Stegostoma tigrinum: one gene and its partner. The protein of the gene in region 2 binds, or shares a complex with, the protein of the main gene of each other region. Links are inferred from orthologs where the notes say so. Each region holds a gene or a part of one and is shown on either strand. Other genes may lie near its edges. The genes, in order: snap29 and stx17.

Region 1 (15,911 bases), on a different chromosome or scaffold from region 2:
TTAGAGATCAATCTCCTCAGGTTCAACTCTGTTGGAGCTCCAAGATAGGTGTCCTTGGCCCAACCATCTTTTGCTGTTTCGTCAGTTACAGTCCCTCCATGTCAGAATGGAGATGCTTGCTGTTAACTGCAGCATTCAGCTTTTGTGGATTTTCATATGGGGTCTTACATTTAAAAAATGCAATACTTCTTGATCCATGATTTTATTTAAATGCTTATGAGAGATGGCATCCTTGATATGAAATTGAGGATTTGTTTGCATTGGGAAAGTTTTACGGCTGGGCAGAGAAAACATTGAGGAGCATTCATGACTCCTCAGATACAGAAGCTATACATGTCAAACACATCAAGATCCAACTTTGAGCTGACAAGTGGTAAGCAACATTTATGCCATACAAACACTAGGCAATAACCACCTCACCTCAAAATTCCAAAGCATTCCCATTGCTGAACCATTGATCAGAAACTGAACTGGATTAATCATGAGCACTATAGCAAGGATCTTGTGGAGCAGTGGCAGTGATCCTACCTCTGGCCAAAAAGCCTGGTTTCAAGGCTCACTTACTCCAGAGATATCATAACATGTTGAGAAAGGTTGATTAAAAAGATTTCCAAGTACTGTAGATATAAGAGTCAGACATTAGGCAGCTGGAGTTAGACGAATCATTAGTCGAATCATTAGTCGAATCATTTTTTGAAGGCTATTGTAACTGGGTATAGTTTACTGAGATATAATATTTGTAATCAGTTAAAATGCAAGGATTGATTGGATCTTGTACAAATACTGTTATGAAATCTAACAATCATTGGTTTAAGTTTGTGCAGGAAGAAACTAACAAATGTTGATAAACTCCTGAAAATGCTGAATTGTAATGTGCATGCTTTATATATTAAAAAATTAAAGCATTTTTGCATTTGCAAAACTAAACAGACAGCTTAGATTTTGCTAGTTGCATATGGGTTTTCACCGGTGTGAATGAAGGGATTTTAATCATTTGACAGTATGTTGTGAGCCATGGTTTATCTAAACCAGTGTAAGAGAAGGCATCCTTGGGGTGAAAGTGGGATTTGTTTGCATTGGGAGAATTTTACGAGTGGACGGAGTACACATTGAGGAACATTAGCTCACTGTTTAGAAGGAAACAGCTTGGAAAACTTTTGTTTTATTCTTCAGGAGAGATCTGGTTGAAGTTAGAGATATGAAAGATTCTCAGGAGAAAACAGTTCAGAAAAGTTAGAATTGGGTTTCTTCAAAGTAAGGGTTTTAGTTTAGTTTTAAAAGTTACATTCCAAGAGTGACTGGTTCGAACCCTGAGAGAGTTAATTTTAATAAAGAAAGTTTAAGCTCAATTACGTAACAAATTCTCAGGCTGAGAATTGAAAGAAATTTGTCAAATTAAATTTATAGTTGGGATGGAGAAGAGAGTTCTCTCTGGTGATTAAGTACTGTAACAATGTTGAGATAGACAGGATTGTATGGTGTTTCAAAATCTTGAAAATTGCCTTTTTCTCTTATTTCACATAATAAATTTGTTTTACTGTTACAACAAAGACTGTAGCATTGAGTTGTGTTTCAGTGGAAGAATACTTTGTTAAATAATAAAATTTGTCAAGCCAGATTTCAGTCTGGGATCTAACTTCTCCAGCACTAACATTAGCTGGGACTACAGCATAACATGAAAGTTACGTCATCTACACAAAAGCAGGACAGCTCAATCACTGCCAAATCATTCAACACGAGAAAATCTTTTAACTAGAAAGATGTCCTGTGACACTTAGAAATAATTCTGGCTACAAAGTTAAGAAATGGCCAAGAGTAGAGGAGTGGGAGGAGGGATGGCGTTGAACAATATTGGCTGACAGAGGGTGAGCAAGCATCTGCTTTCAGAGAATGCCGCTGAACAAGTGGAAAAGCAGGGGTGAAGGATAAAATCTGAGAGGAGACAGGTGTGAAAGGAAGTAGAGATGTACAGGAGAATGAGGAAAGATAGACTGGGAAAGGAGGGGAGGATACTTACTTGCTGCTAGTTTGTTTTTCAGGCACTGGAGAGACCTGTGGCTCTGGGTTCTTAGATTTGAAGTAGTTTGTAATGCCACCAAAAATACTCTTAATGCTGTTGATGTGTTTTTGGCTAACTTTCAAATCCTGGTCCATCTTATTCACCATATTTTCTGATCGCTTAAGAGATTCACCTTGTCGCAGTAGTTCCTGTGAAGCATAAGAACCAAATCTACAGTAACCATTAAGACATGAGGTTCTGCAAATTAAAACAGGGAATTAGCCAGATGCTAAAAAGAGAGGAGGAAGAGCAGATGAATGAGGAGCTGGTGCAGGGATTCAGACTTTTGGATCATTGTTAAAGTTTAGTTCTAAATCAGGGCATGGCCAGTTTAGTGGTATTAGATGGGAACTTTCAAAAGTTAGTTGGGGGGAGGCTATTCACAAGTAAAGGGATGTCTGGCAAGTGGGAGGCTCTCAGAAATAAGATAAGGAGAGTTCAGGGCCAGCATGCTCATATCAGTGTGAAGGGCAAGGCTGGTGGGGGAGGGAACACTGAGTGAAAGTGCTTTACAGCTGAATTGCTTATGAAATGTAACCACTATTGTAATATAGGAAACAGACAATTGTCACATAACAAGATCTCTCAACAATCTGAAAATGGACAAGTGGGCCAGGACATTGCGGAACAACTCTTCTGCTCTCTTTTGAAATAGGGCAATGGATTGTCAATGGGGTTTAGGTTTAACATTTCAGTTAGTAAACTTCAAATGAGTCCAGCACTCCTTTAAATATTGAACTGCACTGCCAGCCTTTCCTGGAGCTGGGCTTGAACACAAGCTTTCTGAATTAGAGGCAAGAAATCTGCCATATAAATCATGGCTGCAACTTTATCCAATTCCTTATTACATGTCATATTGAAGCTGTTTCTTGCATCTTCTGAAGCTCTGCATTCTAGATCATTACTCATTGCATCAAAATACCTATGAAATTGATTTGAAAAGAATCATATGACAGCTGGTCAGTCCCTTCTAGTGACTGCCTTTCCTGTTATTGTAAGCTATCTATCCTGATAATTCCACCACCATCTCCATTTTCATTATGACCACTAACTTGTCACCTCCATGCTGATAACTGAACTTCCAATAGCATGCGCATCAGTCCAAGGGCTGTGCACCAGAGATAACATTTCAAACAAATTTTCAACCACCCTTACTTGAACAGTATGTCCCTCTGTTCAGAATCAAACCAAATCAGCAGCAGGATCCACTCCAGGGTAAAGAGGCCTTCTGAACTATTTATGACATTTTGATTACTCACATTTATGGTCCACAGTTCTTCAGTGGAAACTTCCTCCCCACATCAATTATTTTATATCTCAAAAATTTTTTATATCTTTGGAGATCAGGTCACTACACGGTCTTTTCTTTTTCAAAAGAGCCCCTGGCTGTTCAGATCTTCTCGATGGTTATTAGCTGTTCAGTTCTTGTTGTCACTTTCTTCTGTTAATCTTGCAATTATGGAAACCAGGATCATGTACTGTATTACACAGGGTGTACACAACAAACTAATTTGACACAAAAAGTTGCTGGAAAAGCTCAGCAGGTCTGGCAGCATCTGGGGAGGAGAAAACAGAGTCAACGTTTCGGGTCTGGTGACCCTTCCTCAGAAGGGAAGTAATTTGACAGTTGATTTACAAGTTTGTGCGTTTATGTTCCACACTACTCATCTCATGCGATCAACTACTTTCCATTGCTTAAAAACAAAGAACTGCGGATGCTGGAAATCAGAAACAAAAACAAATTTCTGGCAAAACTCAATAGGGTCTGACAGCATCTGAATGATCATTTTGGGCCTAGTGACCCTGCCTCAGAACTGACAGTAACTGGAATAAAGTTGGTACATGGACTAAAGAACAGGTGGGGAAGTAAACGACAAGTGGAAATGGAGCCCAGAATGACAGCAAGAGCGAAAATAGGTGGTCAGACAGAGGAATGGGTAAAGGTCAGCCATTCCTTTCTCTTTCATGGTCCCACTTATCTGTTATTCACCTTCACCTCAATGTGGGAACATGTCTCATATTGTTACTGTAGCATACCCAATACAATAAATTGAGTGTTTGAGTTTGTTAACCAACTTCTTGCAAAACAATCCAGTTCCTCCCACCCCTTACTCTTGGCCTATATTCCTGAACTTTTAACCTCATGTATTTTTCCCCAAATGTCTTCTGAATCTGATGCATATCCACCACCTTATCAGGAAAGCGGTTTGAAATTCTTGCCTACTGCAAAAATTCCTGCCCCATTACATCCAACTCATTTGCCAGTAACCTTTAATTAGTTTCCTCTAGTATTGCTCATTGGAAATAGTTTCTCTTCATTTCCTGATTCCTCCTTGATCTTAAACATCTCCAGCAAATCTCCCTTCTACCGTCCCTTCTTTATGCAGCACCAGCAACCCATCATTCTTGGAACTACTCTGAAATCTTAGCTGTATACAAAGCCCTTCACAGGCCTTCCTAAAATGTGGTGTATGGAATGAAACCTACTATTCCTGCAAGGAATGGGAGGATAAACTTCTTTTATATATTGTGTGTGTAATGATTGTAAGATTACTAGTTTTCAAGATGGTAGCAGAGAGACATCTACAATTTAAATGAAAGTAGGCAGAATTGAAAGAAACAAACTGAGCTAAAGGGTTATTGCAGGAAGAACAGGACGGACAGGTTCACATCATGCATCAACTTGAGCTAAAATGCCCTCGCCCGTACTACCAAAAAAAAATCAAACTAATGGGGTCTAGCATTGGTTTAGCATCTTCTAGCTTTCACTTTTTTTCCTAGAACCCAGAGACATTGATGTTTAATTCAAGCAAAATCCAGAACGTAACTTCCACTTTCATTTCTTGCTCAGTTGATCCTACGTTAACATCTTGCTTTTGCTGTAGTTCTGCTTCCAGCACAAGAACTAACACTCGTGTTTCACTGACTTGTCTATGGAAAGCCATGCCCTGTTACCTTCAGGAACTGGCAAAAGAAGTCTCCTTTTTAAATGAAGTGTACAACTTTCATGAATGTTGTTAAAAGATAGCACTGGTGCTGGAGTAATTCAACTACAAAGAGGGATGAGATAAGCTGGGGTTTTCCTTAAAGAGGAAAAGGCAGAGGACACGCAGTGGGGGAACATGATTGAGGTGTACGAAGTTACAAGGGTTGTGGAAACTGCAAAGAGGGAGAAACTTTGTAAAAAGGGTCTACAACAAAAATATACAGTTTTAAGGCTAGAAGCAGGATGACTACATTGAACTTGAGGAAAAGTCATAAAATAGATGAGTCATTGGACTTGGGCAGGGGGAAGCCACTCTCCACAGATGCTGGAAGGCATGGCAAATTTCTCCAGTACATTATGTTTTTGTCTATTCTTAGAAATAGATACATGCTTGATGATGATGTCAATAGCGTGGAGCTGGACATCTGTAGGTCAGGCAGTAGAGGAGCAGGAAAGTCGAGGTTTTGGGTCAGGACCTTTCATCTGAACCGTTTCAAGTTGCACAATTTCAGGGAAACTGCCAGGGTTGTGGGGGTTGGAGCTACAGGAAGAAGCTGAAGAGACTGGGGCTATTTCCTCTGTAGAAGCTTATAAGATAATGAGGGGCATGGATAGGGTCAATAGTCAAGGCCTTCCCCCGCCCCAGGATAGGAAAGTTTAAAACTAGAGGGCATAGGTAACCTAAAAAGGCGAGAGGGAGAAGATTTAAAAAGGACATGAGTGGGAAACATAGAAGGTGAAGCACGAATGGAACGAGCTGCCAGAGGAAGTGGTGGAAGCCGGTACAATTACAACATTTAAAAGGCAACTGGATGGGTACATAAATAGGTAGGTGGGCCAAATGGGACCAGATTAATTTAGGATCTCTGTTCGGCACAGATAAATTGGACCAAAGTTCCTGTTTCCATGGTTTACGTTGGGCTACTAGGACTACGACCGGCATCAACGCGACGGGCTGAAGGGCCTCATTTAGAATCTGTTGTTTGCGGTGAGCTCAGGCCGCGGATATCCCTCAGGCTCGATCCCTCACCTTCGCCGCCTCGGTGCCCACTTGCTCGGACTCGTACATGAGGGCCACGCTACGGCCGCTGCTCTGGACGGCCCTGTCGGCGCTCCTCAGCACCTGCTGCCTCAGGGACCACTGCCTGTCATCATCGGCGGCGGGCCCAGCCGCCCCGTCTTCCCAGTCCGCCGCCGGCCGACCCTCCTGCTCCTCGTCATCCTCTTCGGCGAACGGGTTGTAGCGATTGGGATAAGCCGACATCGCCTTCCCTCGATCGGTCTCGTCGGTACCGAGTTCGTCGCCTTCTCCGGGCTCTCCCCGCCACCGCGCCTCGTCACCTGACAACCCCCGGACTCACCACACGTGACCCCACCCGGGTGATGCACGCCAAGGGCGCGGCCATCTTTGAGACTGGCTGCCAGCATCGTTACGTGACCCCCAGCCCCATGCTTTCCCACCCGAAAGAGTCTTGGCTGACTTCTCTGAAATTCAGTAGAAACACAGACTGCTAGAAAGGCTCCACACGTGCGGAGAGGGAACGATATAAAAGTTTACGTTTCAGGTTGATCTGAATTTTCAGTAGGTTTTCATTTCGCCCTCCCTGTAGGTTTATCGAACAAAATCAGAGTATGTGGGATTGGGCGCACAGGTAAGTGTTGAGAATTGGTTAACAGACAGAAAACTTGAGTAGGAATCTGCAGGTCATTTTCAGGATGGCTACAGCCTCTTACCAATGGGGTACCTCAAGGGTTAGTGTTGTGGCCACAGCTGTTCATGAAATATATAAATAACTTGGTCTTGGGGAAACAAATGTAATATTTCAAAACCTATTGTTGACACAAAACTAGTTAAGTTGTGACAAAGTTGCACAAAGGCTCAGGTGAACCTGAATTGACTAAATAAATGGGCAAGGACACGATGAGCAGACATCTGGATTGACTGATTGACTGATTTATTGTCACATACCAGAGTACAGTGAAATGCTTTGTTTATGAGTAGTACAGGTAGATCATAGTAAGCTAGGTTGTGCTGATCAGAGGTTGTAAAAAGTCTTAGATAGAGGCATACAGGTTATGTTGCACAGGGCATGTGCAAGGCAAGATCAATATTAGCAAGATCAGCATTATTTGAGGCTGAAGGGTCCATTCATCAGTCTAATAACAGTTGTGAAGAAGCTGTTCCTGAACCCACTGGTGCATTTATTCAGGTTTCTGTATCTTCTGCCTAACACAAGAGTTTTAGATGTTGGCAGCCTTTCTGCGGTAGCGGGCCATGTACATAGAGTCCATGGATGGAAGGTTGGCTTCTGTGATGATCTGGGCTGTTGCCATACCAGGCCATTGTGCACCTGGACAGTGTGTTTTCAATGGTGCGTCTGTAGAAGTTGATGAGGGACCTTATGGAAATGCCAAATTTCTTCAGCCATCTGAGGAAGATGAGGTGTTGCTGTGTCTTGACCATCGCATCTATGTAGAAAGTCAAGGACAGGTTGTCAGTTATCGTCAGTCCGGGGAACTTGATGCTCTCCACCCTCTCAACCTAAGTTCCGTTGATGTAAATGGAGACATGTTCTCCTCCTTTCTTTATGAAGTCGATGATCAGTTCTTTGGTTTTGCTGACATCGAGAGGACCCATTCCCGTTGCCACTCCTTAGTCGCACCGCAGTCCCCAGCAACAACTCCAACCTGCCCGGTACTTTCCCCTGTATCTGTAAAAGTTGCAACACCTGCACACACGCCCCCTGCCCCACTCCCTCATCTGCATCCAGGCCTTCCAGGTGAGACAGAGCTTCACCTGCATCTCCTCAAAACTAGTCTACTGCATCAGGTGCTCCCGATGTGGTCTTCTCTGTGTTGGTGAGACCAAATGTAGACTAGGTGACTGTTTAGCTGAGCATCTTTGCCTGGCCTGTAAAGGCCAAGCTAACCACCTGGTGATCATCCATTTCAACTTCCCTGCCCCCTCCCCCTCCAACATGTCTGTCCTTGGCCCCCCTCCAGTGTCTCAATGACTCAGAGCGCAAATTTGAAGAACAACACCTTATCTTCCACCTGGGCACCTGACAGCCTGGAGGACTCAACGTTGAGTTCTCTAATTTCAAATAACTGTACTCCATCCCCAGGCTACCCTTCCAGCCCCTCCTCCTCCCTTCCATTCCACCTTTTGACCCTCCCTTTCAGCCACTGACCAGATTCGTCCCTCCCATCAACCAACCAGGTCATACCAACTACATCATCAGATGCCATTTCCACCACCCCCAGCGAGATGCCACCACCAGATACATATTCGCCTCCCCTCCCTTGTCCACCTTCTGCAGGGACCGTTACCTCCGGGACTCCCTGGTCCACACTTCCTTCACCTCCAATACCCCTCCACAGACCCACCACCTTCCCCTGTAACTGACAAAGGTGTAATATCTGCGCATTTACCTCATCCCTCCACAGTATCCAAGGGCCCAAACACACCTTCCAGGTGAAGCAACACTTCACCTGCACTTCCCAGCATTCAGTCTACTGCATTCACTCACACAATGTGGTCTCCTCTACACTGGGGAAACAAAACAGAGACTTGGTGACTGCTTCGCAGAACATCTACGTACTGCTTGCAAAAAAGACCCTGAACTACCTGTTGCCTGCCACTTTAATCCACCACCCTGTTCTCTGGCCAACATCTCTGTTTCTGGCTTGCTGCAGTGTTGCAACGCAAGCTGGAGGAGCAACACCTCGTTTTCTGCTTGGGGACCCTGCAGCCTTCCGGAATTAATATCAAGTTCAGTAATTTTAGGGCCTAAACTCTCCCATGTCCTAGCCCCCCACCCCACACACCAGGCTTTGTTAACACATAAGCTTGCCATTACACTCGGTGTTGTTAGTCACTGATGGTCCCCAGTAAGAACTATTCGCCCTCCCAGCCTGATTGTAATCAACACTTTGTCTGTCCAACTGTCTTTCTCTTTAGGCTCTATCCTATTGTTTACTCCCTAGCCCATACTCCTCCTTTTGCATATAAACTGATGTTTTCCCAGCCACCATCAGTTCTGAGGAAGGGTCACCGGATCTGAAATGTTAACTCTGTTTTTCCTTTCACAGATGCTGCCAGATCTGCTGAGCTTTTCCAGCAACTTGGTTTTTGTTCCTGATTTACAGCATCTGCAGTTCTTTTGGTTTTTGTTTGTAACTACTACCAATGTCCACCTGCCACTACCATTCCGACTCCACCTCTCTCCCCACTTCATCCGCAGCTCTCCCTTCCACCACATCCAGTCCCAAAGAACGGTAATACTTGAAATGTTGACTGCTGCTTTCCTCCAGATGCTGCCTGGCTTGCTGTGTTCTTCTAACTTCCAAACGTCAGCTTTCCTGCTCCTCTGATGCCGCCTGGCCTGCTGTGTTCATCCAGCTCCACACGTTGTTAACTCCTGTTTGTCTACTAGTCTTCACTGATTGTGGTCTTTGGGTCAGAAAGCTGAGGGTCCAGTTGCAGAGGGCGGAGCTGAGACCAAGGGCACACAGTTTTGAGATCAGTCTGGGAGGCGATAATGGTGTTGAAGGCAGAGCTGTAGTCAATGTGCAGGAGTTTGATGTACATGTCTTTGTTGTCCACATATTCCAGGGATGAGTGCAGGGCTGGGGATATGGTATCTGTTGTGAATCTGTTATGTTGGTAGGCAAACTGTAGGAGATTGAGGCAGGTTGGGAGCCTGGACTTGATGTGGGCCATGACCCACCTCGTGAAGCATCCTATGATTAATGAGTTCAGAGCCACTGGGCAGTAGTCATTAAGGCACACTGCATGTGCTTTCTTAGCTATAAAAATGATGGTGGTCTTCTTGAAACAGGTGGGGACTTCATCGTGTAGGAGGGAGAGGTTGAAGATGTTGGTGAATACCTCTGCCAGTTGGATAGGTACATGAAGAGGAAGGGTTTTGAGGAATATGGGCCTAATGCTGGCAAGTGAGACTAGATTCATTTAGGATAACTGGTTGGCACGGACGAGTTGGACCAAAGGGTCTGTTTCTGTGCTGTACATCTCTATGAACCTGTAAATGTAGAGTGATTCACTTTGTGGTAGAAACAAAACACTGTATTTCCTAATTGGTGAGAGGTTGGGAAATATTGATGTCCAAATGGAACTGAGTGTCCTTTTGAAATTGTAAAGATTTAAGGTGCAGGCCAGCAAGCAATTGGAAAGGCAAATTATACTTCGGCCTTCATTGCAAGAGGATTTGGTACAGGTTTTAAACATGACTTTCTCAAGGGCAACTAGGGATGGGCAATAAATGCTGGCCAGCCAGCAAGTAAATATAAAAAAAAAGCTGTTGGAGACTTGGTGAGACTGCAGCTGGAATGATGTGGATAGATTTTGTTTCCTTATCAAATAAGGAATATACTTGCTATGGACAAAAGAAATGAAGGTTCACTATACTAGTTCCTTCAAGAATGGGATTGTCTTACATTGAAACATTGAAGAAAATGGGTAAATGTTATTCCAGAGTTTAGAAGAATGAGAGGGGCTCTCATTAAGAGTTAACAAGGACATGATACATGAATTTAGACAGGATGTGTCCTTTGACTGTTGAGTCCAGATCCACGTGACTTTGTATTAGAAGAAGGACTACACCATTTAAGACTGAAAATGAGGAGAAATTTCTTCACTTTGACAGTGGTGAATCTTTGGATTTTCCTACCCCAGAGGGCTGTGGAAGCTCAATCATTGAGCATTTTGAAAACAAAAGTGAATAGATTTCTGGAGACTCATGACATTGAGGGTTACGGAGATGGTACAGGAAAGTGACATTGATGATCGGTCATGATCTAATTGAATGGTAGAGAAGACTTGAACAGCCTACTTGTGTTACTGCATTCCATTCCTATGGCGACTTTCACAATCATGACTGAACAATGCTCCAAACTGCTTTACAGCTATTTAAGTACATGTGGAGCATAGTCATTGTTGTAGCGTAGGTTTTGCCTCAACTGAAGATTTATGTCCAGTTGAGGGCACTACTGGTTTAGGAAAGGTATAAAGACTGTTGAAAGGGAGCAGAAAGGAATAACAAGAATAGTTCCAGGGATGAGAGAACTCAATTGTAAGTACAGATTGGACAAGCTGATGCTATTCTTGTTGGGGACCAGAACATTGAGAGGAGTTTGGATAAAAGTGTTCAAAACAATGAGGGGTCTGGACTCAATTATTAGGGAGAAAATGACTAATTATTGGAAGAATCCAGATCAAAAGGATACATCCATTCAATGTGAATGCCAGAAGAACCAAAAATGACATGAGGAGAAAGCTCTAATGCAGTGAAAGATTAGCATCTGGATTGTACTGCTTGAGAATGTCATAGTCACTGAGTCTACTGCACAGAGAAAGAGCTTTTAGACCATAGCATCTGTACTGGTGAAAAGCAGCCACCTACCTATTCTAATCCCATTTTCCAGCGCTTGGGCCTCGGCCTTGTATGCCTTGGCTTCACAAGTGCGCAACTAAATACTTCTTAAATGTTATGAGGGTTTCTGCCTCTACCACCCTTACAGGGAGTGAGTTCCAGATTCCCATCACTAACAGGTGAGAAAGTTTTCATTACATCTCCTCTAAACAACTGCCCCTCACCTTCAGTCTACGCAAGGAGAAAAGTTCCTTCCTGTCTGTGCCCCTCATAATTTTATACAACTCAATCTCCTCTGCTCTAAGGAAAACAATGCCTGTCTCTTCAATCTTTCTTCATAACAGAAACGCTCAAAACCCAAATAACATCCTGGTAAATCTCCTCTGCACCCTCTCCAGTGCCATCACGTCCCTCCTATTATGTATTGCACACATTACTCCAGCTGTGGCCAAATCAATGTTTTAGACTGTTCCAGAATAACACCCCTGCTCTTAACTGCTTCAGATAAGGCAAGCATCCTATAATCATTCTTAACCATTTTTTCTAACAGTCCTGGTGGAAACAGACTCGATTGTGGTTTTCAAATGGAATTGGATAATTAAGTTTTGAAAAAAAAAACTATAGGGTTACAGGTAAAGGCAGATGAGTGGAGCTAGGGGAGTTATTCTTGCAGACAGCTAGTACTGATGTGACAGGCTGAATGGCCCCCTTCTGTACATTTTTATCATTCTGTGAAATATAACTGACATTTTTTTTCTTGATTGCCCTACGTGAACTTTGCTGGCGAGACCTGCATTTCTTACCCATCATGATGTTAACTGAAGGTAGGAAAATGATTGCTGGGATCCTTGCTGAGAGATCGGTTTCATCAATAGCCACAGGTGAGGTGCCGGAAGACTGGAGGTTGGCTACTGTGGTGCCAGTATTTGAGAAAGGTTAAGGAAAAGCCAGGGAATTATAGATCATTGAGGCTGACACTGGTGGTGGGCCAGTTTGATTAGATTCCCTAGAGCGTGGAAACAGGCCCTTCGGCCCAACGAGTCCACGCAGCCCCTTGAAGCATCCCACCCAAACCCATCCCCCTATAACCCACACACCCCTGAACACTACGGGCAATTTAGCACAGCCAATCCACCTAGCCTGCACATCTTTGGACTGTGGGAGGAAACCGGAGCACCTAGAGGAAACCGACGCAGACATGGGGAGAATGTGCAAACCCTACACAGACAGTCGCGCTAGGTGGGAATCGAACCCGGGTCCCTGGCGCTGTGAGGCTGTAGTGCTAACCACTCAGCCACCGTGCCGCCCTTGTAGGAAGGAATCCTGAGGGCCAGGAGTTACATGTACTTGCAAAGGTAAGAATTAATTAGGGAAAGACAGCGTGGCTTTGTGCATGGGAAATCATGTCTCTCTAACTTGAGTGAGTTTTTTGAAGAAGTAACAAAGACGATTGTTAGATCACATGGAATGCAGGGAGAACTAGCCATTTTGGTACACAACTGGCTTGAAGGTAGAAGATCGAGTGTGGTGGTGGAAGATTGCTTTTCAGGCTGGAGGCCTGTGACCAGTGGTGTGGATTGGGGTTGGGTCCACTGCTTTTAGTCAGTTATATAAATTATTTGGATGTGAACACAGGAGGTATGGTTAGTAAGTTTGTAGATGACACCAAAATTGGAGGTATAGTGGATGGTGAAAAAAGCTACCTCAGAGTACAACAGTATCTTGCTCAGATGGGCCAATGGGCTGAGGAGTGGCAGATGGTCTTTAACTTAGATAAATGTGAGGTGCCACATTTTGGAAAGGCAAATCAGGGCAGGACTTGTACACTCAATAGTAAGGTCCTGGGGATCTTTGGTGAACAAAGAGACCTTGGAGTGCAGGTTCATAGTTCTTTGAAAGTACAGTCACAGGTGGAAAGGATGGTGAAGAAGGCGTTTGGTATGCTCTCCTTTATTGGTCAGTGCATCGAGTATAGGAGTTGAGAGGTCATGTTGCAGATGTACAGGACATTGGTTTGGCCACTTTTGGAATACTGTGTGCAATTCTGATTTCCCTGCTATAGGAAGGATGTTGTGAAAGTAGAAATAGTTTGGAAAAGATTTACAAGCATGTGGCCAGGGTTGGAGGGAGTGAGCTACAGGGAGAGGCTGAATAGGCTGGGGCTGTTTACCCTCGAGCATCAGAAGTTGAGGGGTGACCTCATAGAAGTTTAGAACATCATGAGCGGCATGGATAGGGTAAATAGACAAGGTCTTTTCCCTGGATTGGGGGACCCCACAACTAAAGGGCATAGGTTTAAGGTGAGAGGGGAAAGATTTAAAAGGGACATAAGGCATAACTTTTTCATGCAGAGGCTAGAACATACATGGAATGAGTTGCCAGAGGAAGTGGTGGATGCTGGTATAATTACAAAATTTAAAAGGTGTCTGGACTGGTATAAGAATAGGAAGGGTTCAGAGGGATCTGGGCCAAATGCTGGCAAATGGGATTAGGTTTACAAAGGAATCTGGCTGGTGTGAACGCATTAGACTGAAGGGTCTGTTTCCGTGCTGAACACCTCTGTGACTCCCTGAAGGACAAGGACTGGGCACTAGCGAGCACTGTAGCGTTATGGGATCCATGTGATTTGAATTTGCAACCTTCTCACTTTGGTGAGCATGCTAGCAAATGAACCAGCTTTGACACGATGAAGAATAGGACTGCATTCCAACCTTTCCATTTATGGAACCTAAAACAGAATTCAACCCGAACTATGATTTAAGACAGAGATAAGGAAAATATTTTTCTCAGAGGGCTCTGAGTCGTTGGAACTCTTTTCCTGAAAAGGAGATGGAAGCAAGAGTCGTGAAAGTTTTAAAGCAGGAGTAGATAGATTCTCATTAAGCAAGGGGGTGAAAGGTTATTGGGTGTAGACGGTAACGTGGAACAATCAGATTAACCATGATCTTGTTGAATGTTTGAGCTAATTTGAGAAGCTGAGTGACTTGGTAATAATTTATTTGTATATATTTGTTTTAGCAATCACAGATCTTGCTTGAGGGATTAATATCAATTCAGGACACTGGGGTGACCTTGCCCTACTCTTAGAACAAAGAACAAAGAAAATTACAGCACATGAACAGGCCCTTCAGCCCTCCAAGCCTGTGCTGATCCAGGTCCTCTATCTAAACCTGTCACCTATTTTCCAAGGATCTGTATCCCTCTGCTCCCTGCCCAATCATGTATCTGTCTAGATACATCTTAAATGCCGCTATCGTGCCCGCCTCTACCACCTCCGCAGGCAATGTGTTCCAGGCACCCACCACCCTCTGTATAAAGAACTTTCCACACAAATCTCCCTTAAACTTTTCCCCTCTCACCTTGAAATTGTGACCTCTAGTAATTGAGTCCCCCACTCTGGGGCGGGGGAAAGCTTCTTGCTATTCACCCTAACTATACCTCTCATGATTTTGTAGATCTCAATCAGGTCCCCCCTCAACCTCCATCTTTCTAATGTAAATAATCCTAAACTACTCAACCTCTCTTAGTACCTAGTGTCCTCCATACCAGGCAGCATCCTGTTGAACGTCCTCTGGACCCTCTCCAAAGCATCCACATCCTTTTGGTAATGTGGCGACCAGAACTGTACACAGTATTCCAAATGTGGTTGAACCAAAGTCCTATACAACTGTAACATGACTTGCCAACTCCTGTACTCAATACCCCATCCGATGAATGAAAGCATGCCGTATGCCTTCTTGACCACTCTATCGACCTGCGTTGCCACCTTCAGGGTACAATGGACCTGAACACCCAGATCTCTCTGTGCATCAATTTTCACCAGGGCTTTCCCATTTACTGTATAGTTCACTCTTGAGTTGGATCTTCCAAAATGCATCACCTCGCATTTGCCTGGATTGAACTCCATCTGCCATTTCTCTGCACAGCTCTCCAATACATCTGTATTCTGCTGCATTCTCCAAGAGTCCCCTTCACTATCTGCTACTCCACCAATCTCAATGGCATCTGCAAACTTGTTAATCAGACCATCTATACCTTCCTCCAGACCATTTATGTATTTCACAAACAGCAGTGGTCCCAACACAAATGCCTATGGAACACCACTGGTCACAGTTTTCCATTTTGAGAAACTCCCTTCCACTATGACTCTGTCTCCTGTTGCCCAGCCAGTTGTCAATCCAACTAGCTAGTACACCCTGGAGCGCATGCGACTTCACTTTCTCCATCAGCCTACCGGGGGGAACATTATCAAATGCCTTACTGAAGTCTATGTATATGACATCCACAGCCTTTCCCTCATCTATCAACATTGTTGCTTCCTCAAAGAATTCTATTAAGTCGGTAAGACATGACCTTCCCTGCATAAAACCATGCTGCCTATCACTAATAAGCCCATTCTCTTCCAAATGCAAATAGATCCTTTCCCTCAGTATCTTCTCCAGCAGCTTCCCACCACTGGATTACCTGGATTATC
Region 2 (16,684 bases):
CATTGTGTTTAATTTGACAAAAGTAAATTGCAAAGTGCTTCACAAACATTGTTAATATTTAACCACTCGTATAGAACATAGAACATTACAGCGCAGTACAGGCCCTTCTGCCCTCGAGGTTGTGCCGACCTGTAAAACCAATCTGAAGCCCATCTAACCTACACTATTCCATTATCATCCATATGTTTATCCAATGACCATTTAAATGCCCTTACGGTTGGTGAGTCTACTATTGTGGCAGGCAGGGCATTCCACACCCTTACTATGCTCTGAATAAAGATCCTACCTCTGACATCCTTCCTATATACCAATACCCCTCCAATTTAAAGCTATGTCCACTCGTGCTAGCCATCACCATCTGAGGAAAAAGGCTTTCACTATCCATCACATCTAATCCTCTGATCATCTTGTATGTCTCTATTAAGTCACCTCTTAACCTTCTTCTCCAATGAAAACAGCCTCAAGTCCCTCAGCCTTTCTCATAAGACGTTCCCTCCACACTAGGCAACATCCTGGTAAATCTCCCGTGCATCCTTTCCAATGCTTCCACATCCTTCCTATAATGCGGCAACCAGAACAGTACGCAATACTCCAAGCGTGGCTGCATCAGACTGATATTGACAATGCACATGTAATGTTGGTTGGGCTTGATCATAAATAAGTAAACAGCAGCAATATTCAACAACACACCACAGGTGTCACCAGGAACAAAGCTAAACGTCCAAGAACCAACAAATGCCAAACAATGAGCTCATCTGCTAACTGCATAAGATTGTATTTCTGAGCTGATATCACACAAAAGACCGAAGATTTTCCAACGCTTTATCTCGCAAGATGTAAGGTAGTGTTAAATGTTGAGTGTAACTCTACGTCTATAATGATTTAGATCCAGCTAATAATTGTCAATCTTTCATACTCCATAATGTTGAACTGTGTCATGGTAGCAGTTATTTATCAATTATCAAATAAAGTTGTTAGTTAATACAACTCTGCGACTGACTTTGATTTGGATAATTCCAGATATTTGTAGGTTAGTTACTACAGTCACAGAAATAACTTATTTCTGGAGAGCCTTTAACATAAACCAAATCCCATATCGTTTCCACGAAGTGCAAGTAAAAAGCTAAACATCAAACCAGAGGAAAGGACATAGACAGGGAATAATCAAAAGCAAGATGATGCAAATTTTGAGAAGAGAGAAATGGAGAGCCTCAAGCAAGAAGTCCTATGAGTAAGACAATGCAGCTGAAGACAAGACCATCATTAATGGCTGAAAGCAAAGAGACGCACAAGAAGTTAGAGGCAGGAAAGCAGAAAATTTAAGGAAAAGTATAGGTGTAAGTTGGTTACAGAGTTGGTAAGAATAAAGTGATGAAGGATTTCATTTATGAGGGTGCAATCTGAAGGTCCAGGTGCCACTACAAGGTCAGTGAAAACAACAGTCACAGTAAGCACAATAAAGGGCCTAAAATTTACAGGCAAGGAGTGAGCCAAAAGAAAGTGTAGAGACTACAAAGGCACAGATGATTGTTTCAATGACAGATTAAGTGAGGTAGAGATGGAATTTGTTGATGTCATGAAGGATGATGTCGGAGGTCATTAGGATAGAGAGTGAATGGCACTGAAAGCTCAATGTAAAAACAACTTGCATTTATATAGCACTTTTTACCAGGCATCTCAAAGCATTTCAAGTCAATAAACATGGAGCTGGAAAAGCACAGCCAGTCAGTCAGCATCCGACGAGCAGGAAAGTCAACATTTCGGCTCCAAATTTCAAAGCACTTCACAGCCAATGAAGTACTTTTGAAACGTTGACACTATTGTAATATAGGAAATGCAAAGGCCGACGCGTGCACTGCAATTAGCAATATGATATTAAGCAGACTTTTTGATTTGTGATGTCAGTTGAAGGATAAATATTTGGTCTTATTTGAATATGTGGCAAAGAATATTTTAGATCTACTGTACGAGGTAGATGGGACCTCATCCAGATGCCTTTTAAATGTTGTAGCATCCCATTTGAAAGACAGCATCAAGAGTGCAGCAATCCCTCAGTAGTACACTGGAGTGTAAGTCTATACCTTTGTACTCAGGTCCTGGAGTAAACTTCAGCCCACGGAGCAAAAGCTGCTAGGTGTCAAATGTTGGAAAGTGCAACTAGTGCAGATATAGTACTGACTCAAGGGGCCAAAGAATCTCTGCCGTACTGTAAAATTCCATGATTTTATGAGTACATGTCAGTGCCTTTAAATTACTGCATGTACATGGCAAATTTGAAGGTCCAATGGACTTGAATAAATGAGCCACTCATAGTAAAAAATAACTCAGCATGGCATGATCAAGGGAGGTGGAAAAGTGGTCACAGGGTTAGATGAGGCTGTATTTGGAAGTTAAACCCCATTCTGTGAAATAATTTGCCAAACAGCAGCCTTTTAAATGAGGCCCAGGTTAAAGTCCCACCAGATCCAGAAGTGCGTGTTGACATATCTGAACAGGTTGATTACAGATATCTACGAATGAGGAAGAAAAGGAAGTCAAGCATAGACTCTTTGTCCATGCTGTCTGTCCTGTGGGATTGTAATTGTCTTTGGAGACGGGATAAACTGGAGTTGCTGCTCCTCCTCAGAACTTCAATGCTACTGCAAAATAGGTAACTTCTGTGCTGCAGACATGTAGCATGAGCAAGAGAAGTCAAGATTCAACGCAGTAGACTCTGAACCACATGGAAGTTGCTGGATAAAGTTGCAATTCTCAAGGAAAACAGCAATTTTCAGGCTAAAATAACTAATGCTGTCAGTACCATATTTTTACTGTGGCTAAGAAACTTGTTGAATTCAACTTTTTTGCAACAACAAACCAGATTAGTAATTATTTCCCACTATTCATGCACCTCATCCAACCTGGCAAGATGCAGGATACAGGTTAATGACCTTATTTGGATTTCATAGATCTGAAATTAGTTACCTGGCAGATACAATCAATTAGAACTGCCACAGTGAAAGCCAAGGCAGATCAAATCATCTTGAAATCCCAGCCAAAGAGTCTTATTGGAGATCTAATTTGCATACACACACAACCCACCTCTCCTTGCCTGGGGAAAGGCCCTCATTGCCAGCACCAAGCACTCACAGGTCAGCGTGCCAGATGTAGGGGCAAGTTGTTTGGATCTCGGCTACCCGCTTCCCCAACTTTTACTCTTGAGCTTGAAATTTCAATGACCCCAGTGTTTGGAGATCCAGGGGGGGGGGCGGCGGTGGTGGTGGTGGTTCTCAACTTTAGCAAAGCTGTTTTAGTCCCAAATTAAAATGGCATTTTCTACTGCAGCAACGATAATTTTTTTCCCATCTCTCAACAGCCACAACTTGACCATTCTAACATAGCTGCCAATTTGTGTTGAATTAGGATAAGTTTGCACCACACCTTCTGCCGCATTTAATGACTTAATTTAACATTTCAGTCTAGACATTTTCAGCTTCCATTTTTCTGATTATGTTCATAGGTGAATCTTAACTCTCTATATGCTCAAGCATGCTTTCACTTTCTCTGACATCTAAGCAACACATTTGGAAGTGCATGGGTCCTCCCTCTGTAGCCTCTTTTCTGCCCGGCCCTCAGCCTCACCACCTCCATAATAAGTGTCTTATTTGTCATCCCATGGCCTCATTGTTGTATAACCTGATACTCATGACTGCAGGAGGACTCCTCTGGCTCTGTTGCATGCACTTATTGCACGTCACTTGTAAGTACATGAAAACATACCCCTTCTTCAAGCAATGAAAATGTATCTAAATTCGGAAGTCCCCAGCACAAGCCCCAGTTATCTGTCCTTGAAGTTCAGTCAACACTTTGCTAAAAGCAGTATTTAGTATTCACTGGTGACCTTTATTGCATCTATCCCTTGCGTTCGGAATCATCTGTGACAGCTGTTCCCTTATTGATTGATATATCCACTTTCCATTCCCACATTCCACTTCTCCCCCACTACTGAGCCACTTACTGCACTCTCATTTCAGGATCGATGGGATTAGACAGTCAGAATGGATTTACAGTACAGAATTAATAGAATATAGAACAGCACAACACAGTACAGGCCCTTCGGCCCATAATGTTGTGCCAAACCTCTACCCTAAACCAAAGGTTATCTAACCTCCACCCATACCTTACACGATCATTCACATGCCTATCTAATCACCGCTTAAATGCCCCTAATAAGGCCAACTCCACTATCCTCTACAGCAATGCATTCCACGCCCCGACCGCTCTCTGAGTAAAGAACTTACCTCTGACGTCACCCCTATATCTACCTCCACTCACTTTAAAACTATGCCCCTTCGTGATAGCTACTTTCACCCTAGGAAAAAGTCTCTGGCTGTCCACTCTATCTATACCTCTGATCATTTTGTACACCTCTATCAAGTCACCTCTCATCCTTCGATATCGAAAGAGAAAAGCCCTAGCTCTCTCAACCTTTCCTCGTAAGACCTTTCCGTCATTCCAGGCAACATCCTGGTAAATCTTGTCTGCAACAGTTTTCCTTTTCCAACACTTCCACATCTTACCTGTATTGAGGTGACCAGAACTAGACTCAATACTCCAGGTGTGTCCAAACCAGGCTTTTGTATAGTTGGAGCATAACTTTACGGCTCTGAACTCAATCTCTCTATTAATGAAAGCTAACACACCATATACTTTCTTAACAACTCTATCCACCTGGATGGCAGCTTTCAGGGAACTGTGGACATGAACCCCAAGATCCCTCTGTTCCTCCACACTGCCAAGTATCTTTCCATTAACCCTGTATTCTGCTTTCAAATTTGTCCTTCCAAAATGAATCACCTCACACTTTTCAGGGTTAAACTCCATCTGCCTCTTCTCAGCCCAGCTCTGCATCCTATCCATGTCTCTTTGTAACCTAGAACAGTCCTCCGCACTATCCACAACTCGACCCACCTTCGTATTGTCCCAGAACTTACTAATCCACCCTTCCACTCCTTCATCCAAATCATTTACAAAAATCACAAAGAGATGAGGACCCAGAACAGATCCTTGTGGTATACCACACATAACTAAGCACCATGCTGAATATTTTCTGTCCACTACCACCCTTTGTTTTCTAAGGATCAGCCAATTCTGAATCCAATCTGCCACGTTTTCCCCTATCCCATGCCTCCTTACTTTCTGCATGAGCTTACCATGGGGAACCTTTTCAAACGCTTTACTTAAATCCATGTATACCACATCCACTGCTCTACCCTCATCCACGTGTTTGGTCACCTCTTCAAAGAATTCAATAAGGTTTGTGAGTCATGATCTACCCCTCACAAATCCATGTTGACTATCACAAATCAAACTGTGCCTATCAATATAACAGACTCACATGTAAAATTAAAGCATGTGGGGCTATGGATAGTGTTTGGCTTGGATAAAGAACTGGTTGGCGACAGCAAAGAATGAGTATAAATACATAGTGGCAGACAGTGACTACTGGGATGCCACAACAATCAGTGCTTGGATTCCAGCTATTCACAAAACATACCAATCATTTAAATAAGAGAACTAAATATAATTTCTCCAAGTTTGCAGGTGACAAAGTTCAGTATAAAGGTAATCCACTTTAGTAGCAAAAACAGGAAGACAGATTATCTGAATGGCAACAGATTCATAAAGGGGGAGGTGCAATGAGACCTGGGTGTCCTAGTACACTAGTCACTGAAAGTATGCATGCAACAGGCGGTAAAGAAGGAAAATAGTACGTTGGCCTTTACAGCAAGAGGATTTGGGTACAGGAACAGAGATATCTTGCTGCAATTATACAGGGCCTTGGTGAAACCAGACCTGTAATGTTGAGTACAGTTTTGGTCTCTTTACCTGAGGAAGGATGTTCTTGCTCTTGGGGAAGTGCAGCAAACATTTAATAGATCGATCCCAGGGATGAGAGGACTAACAAATAAGGAGAGTTTAAATCAGTTACGGTTATATTTGCTGGAGTTCGAAGAATAAGGAGGGATCTCACAGAAACCAAGAAAATCCTAACAAGATTAGACCACTAGGGTCGATGCAGGAAGGTTGTTCCAAATGATGGGAGACTCCAGAGTCATGGCTCACAGTTTATGGATACTGAGTAAATCCTTCAGGGCTGAGATGAGGACAAATCTCTTCACCCAGAGGTGAGCTTGTGGAATTTTCTGCCACAAAACGCAGTTGAAGCTAAAATATTGTGTTTCAAGGAGTTAGATAAAGGTCTTAAGGCTAAAGGGATCAAAGGGTATAGACAGGAAGCTGGAACTGGATACTGGGTTTGATGATCAGCCACATCATACTGGAAAGCGGAGCAGGCTCGATGGGGTGAATGGCCTATTCATGCTCCAATTTTCTATGCTTATAGCCGCTCACTTCTCCCCTCCACCCTCTAACATTCCAGTGCCTTACTCTGCCAACTCACCTTACACCTAACACTTGGAGATGAGGAGTTCATGCTTGAAAGTCAGGGATAGTAAATGCAGGAGGAAGTAGTGAAGGTCTAGAAAGTGTCAGGAGGCACTGAGAGGCTGGAAAATTGGGGGATTGGAAATAGTGAGTGGATGGAATGTGGGGGGGATGTCATTAATGTATTACAACATCTCAGATATGAAGAATTACCCAAGGTGCAGTTGTTTCTTCACGACAAACACGTAATCGTTTAGCTGTGATCTCACTAATCCACTGAAAGCACATTTAGGGTTTTGACTTTTTCCAGTATGACAGTGTTAAGCTTTTTTTAAGGAAATCTAACTTATACCTACTGTCTCGTGCCAATTTAGACACTGTACTGTTTAGAAAATTAATGCTTTTCTCGTGATGAAGCAATGATGATTAATGGGAATTATGATTCTTTTAATTCTGCTGCTGTGCAAGTCCAAATCCCCAATATCCCATCCATACAAATATAAAAGATATTGTTACAACTTGCGTATGTCCCGCACCATTTAATGAAGTAATTAGTGAAATTGAGACAAGAACCTGAAGGGAACCCCTTGAAAAGAAACTGATCTTGAGCCCTGCTTTAGAATGTTTCAACTGAACCCACTTCAATCACATTCTCAGGAAGTGCATTCCAGATGTTTAACCATTTGCTCCACAAAAAGGTTTTTCCTCACAACTCCCTTGCTTGCTTTGCTGTTTATTTTAAATCTTTTCTCTCTCATTCTCAATCCTGTCACAAGTGGGAAGACTTACTCCTGATCTACACTGTCCAGATGCCTTATGATTTTGAATACAGTCCTAATTTCTTCAGTCTATCTTCATAACTGAAGTCCCTCATCAATGGAACCACTCTCTTTAATGCCTTCACAATTAAAGTGAAACGCACAGAACTAGAGGTAATACTCTCGCTGACTAAATTAAGTGCTCAATTCAAATTCAGCATAGCCACCTTGTGCTTTATTGACCTCCATCTGGAACTCTTACCTCCTTCAATAACTTCTGTGTATACACTCAATCACTGCCGAGAGGTTTAAACCAGTTTTTAAAAGGTAACAGTTGGTCACAGAAGGCATGCTGGATCTCCATTCTGAAGTTCACAAGTCAAACAAATATGTGCTAATCACAAGTTTTACTTTCCTTTCCCCTTCTGGATGGAGTTAGAATTGGCAAGCATCTACCTGATTACCACATTTAGAGTTTCCATATACTCCTCGGTGACCATTGCCACCAACAGTGGCATTGCGAGATGTCTGATGTCGGTGCAACTCGAATCTGGGACTTAAAAAAGAATTTCACTGGAAAGTAAGAGATAAAGCGTGGAGCTGGGTGAACACAGCAGGCCAAAGTAATACCGTCAGTTTGGGTGGATGATGTGAATAGTGTATTTTGTCAGTAGCACCAGTCCTGGAGAGCCCTACGCCACAAGACAGTCTTCCTACTGTGCCCTGCACCTTGGGCGCACTAGGCCGATGATAAAAAGCCAAAGAGACAAGGGCAGCATTTCCCCAGATGTAGTATGAGGAATTTTTAAAAAGGGCATCGTCCCAGGAAACAAGACGAATTTCTGTAGAAACACTGGTCACCTCAGAACAGTTTTTGGTGACAGGCAAACTTTTGTGCTCCTGAGATGCTGCTGGGCCTGCTGTGTTCATCCAGCCTCACATTTTATTATCTCGGATTCTCCAGCGTCTGCAGTTCCCACTATCTCCGACCTCTGGCACCAAACACTGAATATACTGATGTCCTACGAGGTACCGCCGGGGATTATGCGTAACACATTTCAAGTTTTATTTTCATACTTTCCAGCAACAGGTCGCCGCCGTTCAAGGATTCAGATTGTGGGAGGAGCCGGAGCTTCTCTCACACCGGTGGCCGTGTGAAGGGGGGGGGGGGGGGGGAGTTCGGCGGAGGTGCACACACAAAACTAAAGACCTACCTCGGGGCCCTGCCCACTGGTAAAAACCCGAACATAAACCGCTCTCCCGATCGACTGCAATCGCCACAACTTGACAGAGCCGCCACTTCCGGCGTTACCACAGAACACACCCCCCCGAGAACCGGGCGCGGCTCCATCGGGCCTGGCGGCTCGCAACTCAAGGCTGAAGATGAGTAAGTTTTACAAATCACTAAAAAGGGTGAAGTTGTCGTGCCCCTGCCTTTAGACCAGGAGGCCTAGGTTCACATCCTAACTGTTTCAGATGTATGTGGTACTATCTGAGCAGGTGGATTAGAAATTATCGACAAATCACGAAAGGAAAAAAAATCCAAGTGTGTTTAGTTTTATTTTCGTTCTCCACCAACGCCATTTTTATCAAACATTCAGTCCATTTACACAAATATGCATTTTAGGTTAAGCTGTTTAAATAATGTCGAAACTAGCAAACCAGCCTACTAGTATTACCGCTAAACTATCAATCCACACACTCAGCCAGTCACATTTTCAACCTTTCTACAGATGTGGAAGCAAGCCATTTAGACCAGCAAGTCTACACAGACCCTCTGAAGAGCATCCCACCCAGACCCACCGGCTACCCTAGCCCTGTACCCCTGCATTTCCCATCACTGACACTAAGCCTGCACATCCCTGGACAATACGGGCAATTTAGCATGGCCAGTTCACCAACCCTACACATCTTTGGACTATGCAAGGAAACAGGAGTGCCTGGAGGAGTCCCAAATTTGCTACTTAGCTTCCTGAACACTGTTCCAATTTGTTATTTATAAACACTTAGTATCAAAGCCCACTGTTGAATTTAGCCTGAAGCTACAAGCACACTACCTTGGCCTCTTCAAGGAGACTCAGCAGAGTTTGTGGACCATTCTTACTACAAATTTAGATCTGTAAAGGATTTGGTGAAACTTCCCAACTCCAAATACAACTGACAAACCTTCCTTCTCTATTAGGGTGTGTTTACACTCTGCATTGGATCACCTCTGAGCTAATATTACCCCAATGCCATACAGGGAAGCATCTCATGTCAGTATCATAGTGCGGGTTTCATGACGTGCCAACAGCTCAGAGGATGATAGCTGTTTCTTCACTTCCCTGAGAGCTATGGCTTGGCTATGCAACCATTTCCAAGGTTGACCATTTTTTAAGAGTTGATGTAAAGGTGCCGGGATGGGAGTCAGGTTAGGTACAAACTTTCTGTAATAATTCACCAGCCCAATGAAAGAGCTAAACTCTGTTACAGATGTGGGAGCTGGAGCACCTTTGATCACCGTCACTCCTTCTTCCAATGGTGGTAACCCTGTCTTGTTGACTCTGTAGCCTGAGGATGTCACTTGAGCATCTGGAACACATTTTTTCCTTATCTGGGAGAAATGTCGAAGGACTATGCCCAAGTTCTGTAAGTGCTTCTTGTTAGTCTTCTCTTTTATCAACATGTCATCTAGATAAATGGCGACCTGGGGTAGACCTTGTAAAATGTCTCAATTATCCACTGAAAAGTTGCACAGGCTGACGATACCCCACATGGCACTCATACATTGGTACAAATTCTTGTGTGAATTACTTGTAGCATACTTCTGGGAATTCTCATTTAACTGTAATTGCAAATACGCATGGCTCATCTCCAGCTTCATGAAGGACAATCCCCCTGCCAGCTTTGCATATAAATTCTTTATGTGAAGAACTGAGTATTTATTCAGCCATGAAAAGTGATTTACCATTTGTTTAAAATCCCCACAAAGGCAAACCGACACATCAGGCTTCCCAATCATTACACCTGGTGCTGGCCATTCAGAAAATTGGGCTGGTTTGATGACTCCTTCACTTCCTAGCCGCCTTATTTCTGCCTCTACTTTTGCCCATAGGGTAAATGGCACTGAGCAGGCCTTGCAGAATTGTGGAATTTCTTCCTGGTTAACATGCAGGGTGACCTTGGCTCCTTTGATAGTCCCCAGACCTTCCTAAACACTTTCTGGGTATTTAATTAGAACTTCATTCAGGAAGCCATTTTCAAATCAAAAAACGTTCAGCCAATTTAAGTGAACCTTTCTCAACTAAATCTGCTCCATCAAGCTTGGGCCCTTTCACTACAATCAGTGTTAACTGATTCAGCTGCTTCTCATAAGAGAATGGGATCGAAGTTGTGTACCCTTAACCTGTAAAGGTTCTCAGTCTGTCTGAGGCCTTATGCAATCCCAAGGGTTGGAGTCCAGAGCAAATTTTTTTAAGACCGGTTCTGTGATCGCTGAAACGGCCACACCACTAGCAAGGACCTCCATTAGAAGCGGGTGACCATTTAACCAGATGTTTATTCTGATTCGCTCTGATCTAGATGTTGCTAAGAATTTAACTGTTCCAAACCAGATGTAGGTGGACCTTCCAGGTTGGATACTTGCCACGCGTTTTCTTACTCAATTTACATCTAGCAGGACTCCTTTTGCTGTCTCAAGTCTGCATACTGGTGGCAACTACAATGGCTTGCCAGATACTGAAGAAAATTTTAACCGTTTGGCAAAGGCTTGCCTTTGTTTTGGGGTTTTGCTTTGGCTTGACCTCGAGTCCCTATGTTCAGCATATGTCCTGAGTGAAGCTATGCAATTCCCTTCACTCAAGTGCTGTTCCACAAGCTCAGTCAGGCTGGCGAGGGTGACCACTTCCATTGGAATACCCTGTAACTAAAATGGTCCACTTGCCCAACTTTCTAATATTAAAGCCAGTTATGGTCTCAGTTTGAAGTCCAATTGGGCGTCAGCTAGTAGCTGTTTTTGCATGGTTATATTGTTAATCCCACATACCAAACAGTCTCTCAGCATCACATTAAGGGTTAAACCAAAGTCACATGCCTCTGTCTTAACCTTGTCAAAAATCCTAATACGAATTCCCTGGTTCTTGAATTGCTTCAAAACCGGTAGTGTCTCAGAATTAGAGGAGGCTTGGGATCAGAATATTCCTTAAGTAAATCCGTCAACTCTTGAAAGGCTTTTGTATCTGGTGCCTCAGGGAAAGTTAGGCTCCCAATAACCAAAAAAGCTGTGCGTCCACAGCTGTTGGGAGAATTACACATTGTCTTTCATCTGCCCCCAATGTCGTTTGCCCCAAAAAACTAACACAGTCTTTCTGCACACAAGACCTACAGCACTCAGCTCCTGATCTCATTACAGCCTTGGTTCAAACATGGTCAAAAGAGCTGAATTTTAGAGGTGAGATGAGAGTTACAACCCTTGGTATCAAGGCCACTGTAGATATTTACCAAAGATCCTTAGACAGCACCTTCCGAACTCACAACCACTTCCACTTAGAAGCACAAGGGCAACAGTTACATGGGAACACCACAACTTTCAAGTTTCCCTCCAAGCCACTCACTGTCCTGACTTGGAAATATATCACTGTGCTTTCACAACTCTATTATCAGTTCAAAATCCTGGAATTCCTTCCAAAAGGTCAAGTTATAGCACGTGGACTGCAGTGTCATACAGATAGTACACAATACAGACTTTTGCTATTATTGAGCATCAGTGATGAAGGGACTAGATGCTCGTGGATGTGGTGCCAATCAAGCAGGCTGCGTCTTCCTGAATGGTGTCAAGGTTTTTGAGTGTTGTTGGAGCTGCATCATCCAGGTAAGGAGGGAGTTTTCCATCACACTCCTTGCTTGTAGCTTGTGGACAGACACTGGGGAATCAGGAAGTGAGTCATTTGTCGCAGTGTTCCTAGCCTCTGACTTGCTCTCGTAGGCACTGTGCTTAAATAGTGAGCCCAGTTGAGTTTCTGGTCACTGGTAGGCCCAGGATGTTGTTAGTGGGGTATTTGGTGATGGTGACTGCATTGAATGTCAAGGGCAATGGTTAAATTGTCTCTTATTAGAAATGGTCATTGTCTGGCATTTGTTTGGTGCGATTGTTACTTGTGACTTCTCAGCCCAAGCCTAGATATCCTCCAGAGCTTGTTGCATTTGAACATAGACTGCTTCAGTATCTGAAGTAATTATAGCAGGACACTTGTCAAGGAATCTCCACATGTAAATAATGGATTACCAGTTGGCCTGGGATACCGGTCTCTGTGAGGTTACTTATAATGTTTCAAACTTCTGAAGTGCACAAGTATTGGGAGTAAGACCTTTAGCTTGTTACCTGTTTCGAAATGTTATGGATGTTAATCAAGCAGATGTTGGGACTTTTTGTATAAAAAAAAATTAATTCCAGTTAATTTAACTTTTCCGTCGTATGTCAGAAAGGCATTTATTTCTACGGAATGAATTTGGATGGATTGCAATTTGTTCAAAAGAGGATAATGTTGACCTTTCTTTTCTTTTACACTGCCACACATTGTCCCTGGCTGAGAGGACAAGCAGACAGATGACATGAATGACCTGTCACTTATGTTTTAGGCAAAACCTCAAAACCTTGATACTAATATGATTTGTCACTGAATGAGCTGTGCCTATCATCAGGCTGCCCGCATGTATGATGCAATACAGTACCAATGATAGACATCCAGATAACTAATATCAGGATTGTTCAATAATTCAAAAATATAAAAATGGATTGTGAAGCTAACGTACCAACACCACAACAAGGATACACAGTTCTGAATTATTTCCCAGCCGGTATCTGTAGAATATTTATTTCCTTGTGTATATATTACCTCTCAAACCCAAGATGGAGCATCATTTTAATTTGCAACTTTTCCTTATTCCTGATTATTTTAGATAATGGCTGCTGCTCACCAAACACATACAATCAAACACAAATGGGACTACACTAAAATACATCCTCCACTACTTGAAAATTCACAGCCCTGCTTCCAGTAGAACAGTGGCAAACTGGCGTTGATGACACCCGCATCTCACACCTGTGGAGTATCAGGACTCAAGAAAAGGTCATTTCACTGAAGTAGTAATTATGGATGCAATGGTCACAACGGAAGCTGTTTGGGTCCTGTCAGGCAGCAGGTGGAACTAGAAAAACACTGCTGTGTGTTGACCACTATTGACAATTTTGGCTGTCTCGATAGGCTACCATTATAAAGGAGCTAAGAGGATTATTGTTGCCCTAGCTTCTAGTGGAGTCTCAGGCCAGGCCAGATATCTGGGCCCCTGGTGGTTCCACTGATACTGCTAAGCTATGTTGTGCACTAGGTTTATTCTGATGCCTACCTACATGAAATAGATCAGATCTATGTAAATTTGCGTTGTAAAAATTCCTTTATCTTGTTACAGCTCTGCCAGGAGGAGTGCAATGGTAATCAAGTTCCAATACTCTAAAAGCTATACCAAAAGAGCGAATGTCTTACTTAATTATTCAAATGGTTAGTTTATCTAGAACAAAAGAGATTTTCATCAGGGTTCCTCAATACACCGAAAAATAACATTTATTGAAGATAAAATCTATTCTTACAATAAACAGCAAAATGGTTTATCAACTATGCTACTACATAGTTTCAAATTATATCTCCCTTTATTCCAAAAACACACATATTCATATATAGGACAAGATCTCACAGATCCTCAGGGCTATTGTGGATGGGGAAAAGAATCATTAAAGGAATAATGTCCTTGTCTGTCAAGGGTTTGAATGCAGAACGTAGAAATAAGTTGACTTCCTTTGATATCTGTTGACAATCTGATTGTTGTCAGTTGAAGAGTAATGGAAGATCTTCAGCCCAGATCTCATCTGGAAACAGTTAAGAACCCTGATATTTGATTCACAAATTCTTTGTTGAGAATGAGAGAGCTTCTATCTTTGCAAACCTCTCCAGCAGAGCCATATTTGATTTATAATGAAAAATCCACACAAATATCAGTGCAGAGGCTACTGTTAGGCAATGACAGCACAGATCTTTACAACTTTTCAAGCTTGTTTGTCCATCAGTTACAATAATAAACCCTATCTTTTGCCTCTGTCTTAGCAACTTTCGCTTGTATTCTCTGCAAAGTCTGCTGACTTTCTTGAACAGCAGACAATGCCCAGTTTTTCTTAATCCATTGATTTTTGGGTTCCAAAAAGTCGCTTGGTAAAACTTTGCCCCCTAGGAATTATCCAAATTTGCCATTTCCAATTCTCATAGTCTATTAGATTAGAAATGACCAGCCATAATTCAACTGATTGGTGCGCCAGACACAATGGACTGAATGGCCTATATCTGCTCCCACATATTATGGTCTTCTAAGAATATGCATTTCTCACACTGCTTATCCCTTTTGCCATGGGCTATATATGGGGGAAATGGTGATCACAAGAAGGCCCTGCTTTAGGACATCTAGATATGCCATAGCGTGCACAGTTACTAGACAAGTGCTGGAGATGTGATACAATGGATAGATGCTTGATGACTGGTGCAGATAGAATGGGCCAAAGGGTTATTTTTTGCACTGTAAAAACTCTATGGTTGTATATGAAGTTCTAGTGCTGAGTCTGTTGAAAGAAGAGACAATAAATATGTTGAGGGTTCAATGACATTAGCAGTGTAAAATAAAACAATGTTTTTACCATCATTGTGTGGAAGTTACAGGTGTGTACAATTTTTGTGTTAGGCGAGTTAACTAATCTCTTACCGCAACTTCAGTGGAGAGTAGAGTAGTAGAACCTGAGAAACAAAGCAAACAGCTGCATTTTCTTTTTGCAAGATTTTTGCTGAAGTTATAGCAAACATTTGGGACAACTGCATAAATTACAGACAGATTATTATTTTAGAAAATATCAGACCATTGTTGATTGCTGCATAAGTACTATATGCAGATACTGTTGATATTTGTAATTAATTTACAATGAAACATATAGTCTATGTATCAACATTTTATAAAAGTGAATGCATTTTCTTCCTTCAGTTAAATATTTAGTTCTCAGCTCATCAATTTTACAAACAGTGAGTACACAGTTTTACAGTCTATCAGTTGGAGTTAGATCTGATGCCTCAAATTCTTATTGACCTGCGCAGCTGTCCAGATCTTAATTGTTCTCCAGTGGGATATGAGATCGCTGGCTAAACCAGCATTTATTGCCCATCCCTAGATGCCCTTGAGAAGCGTGGTGAGCTGCCTTCTCGAACCACTGCAGTCTATATGCTCCAGGTAGACCCACAATGCCCTTACTGAGGAAATTCCATCATTTTGACCCAGTGACAATGGAAGAATGACAATATAATTCCAAGTTGGGATGGCAAGTATCTTGGAGGGGAACTTGCAGTTAGTGCAGTAAATAGTATTTTTGTTCATCAGTCAACCCCAATTCATTCACTGGTTGATTGCTTCACGGAACAACTGTGTTCTGCCTACAATAAAGTTCCTGAGCTTCCAGTTGCCCGCTACTTCACTACACCACCCTGTTCCCTGGCCAACATCTCTGTCTCAGGATTGCTGTGGTGTTCTAGCGAAGCACAGTGCAAGCTGGAAGAACAACACCTCATTTTCTGCTTGGGAACCCTGCAGCCCTCCGGAGTCAATATTGAGTTCAATAACTTTAGGGCCTGAACTCTCTCATGTCTTAGCCCCCTACCCCACACACCAGGTCTTGTTATCACATAGCTTGCCATTACACACTACCTATTGTTTGCCACTAACAGTCCCCATTAACAGCTACTCACCCTCCTAGCCAGATTGTTATCCGCTCCCTGTCTATCTAACTGTTTTCTTCTGTCTGTTTGGGCTCTATCCCCACCTACTGTTTACCCCTTGTCACTTCTCCCAAGCCCTCACCCCATCATCTGCATCTAAGCTGACATGTTCGCAGCCACCATCAGTTCTGAGGAAGGATCTGAAACGTTAACTTTGATTTCTCTTCACAGATGCTGCCAGATCTGCTGAGCTTTTCCACCAACTTCAGTTTTTGTGAGCAAGTGCCCCAACCTGAAACGTCAAGCTTTCCTACTCCTCTGATGCTGCTTGTCCTGCTGTGTTCATGCAGCTTCACACCGTGTTATCTCTGTTTTTGTTTCTGATTTACAGCATCCACAGTTCTTCTGGTTTTTACCCCAATTCATAGCCTTTTCCTAATCTCAGCGTCAATAGTTTCTGATAATGAGAGTGCATGAAACATTTTTATTGTGTCCAATCCAACAACAGGCAGAAAGTTCTGTGAAATGATAAGTAAGTTCTTTCTACTGGCAGAAACTCAATCGGGTTTTCAATGAATGCTCCCACAATCCCACTTCTTTCACAGGTGCCTGCACAAAGTAGAATCATAGAATCCCTAGAGTGTGGAAGCAGGCCATTTGGCCCATCGTGTCCACACTGACCCTCCAAAGAGCACCCCACCCAGACCCACCCACTACACA

What was found.
Region 1: the proteins of stx17 (region 2) and snap29 are in contact, whole or in part, in a crystal structure (PDB 4WY4), measured with the Homo sapiens proteins. The link is inferred for Stegostoma tigrinum from reciprocal best matches to the Homo sapiens genes STX17 and SNAP29. Residues at the interface, in NP_060389.2 of Homo sapiens: Glu170, Trp172, Glu173, Leu175, Glu176, Leu179, Ile180, Ser183, Val186, Thr187, Phe189, Ser190, Val193, Asn194, Gln196, Gln197, Ile200, Ile203, Ala204, Val207, Asn208, Ala210, Ala211, Val214, Glu215, Thr218, Leu221, Gly222, Ala224, Ala225; in NP_004773.1 of Homo sapiens: Arg52, Thr56, Ser59, Thr60, Arg62, Ser63, Leu66, Glu69, Ser70, Val73, Gly74, Ser77, Glu80, Leu81, Gln84, Val87, Leu88, Thr91, Met94, Val95, Lys97, Met98, Asp101, Leu102, Ile104, Ser105, His108, Ile109, Ser111, Ile112.

Annotation. Positions count from the first base shown.
Region 1 is NC_081379.1:7,570,121-7,586,031, forward strand, and holds the start of snap29 (synaptosomal-associated protein 29), read right to left. Parts: upstream 6,407-15,911; 5' UTR 6,310-6,406; coding exon 6,076-6,309; intron 2,209-6,075; coding exon 2,018-2,208; intron 1-2,017. UniProt on the Homo sapiens protein: SNAREs, soluble N-ethylmaleimide-sensitive factor-attachment protein receptors, are essential proteins for fusion of cellular membranes.
Region 2 is NC_081355.1:89,955,343-89,972,026, forward strand, and holds the start of stx17 (syntaxin-17), read right to left. Parts: upstream 8,523-16,684; 5' UTR 8,434-8,522; coding exon 8,399-8,433; intron 1-8,398. UniProt on the Homo sapiens protein: SNAREs, soluble N-ethylmaleimide-sensitive factor-attachment protein receptors, are essential proteins for fusion of cellular membranes.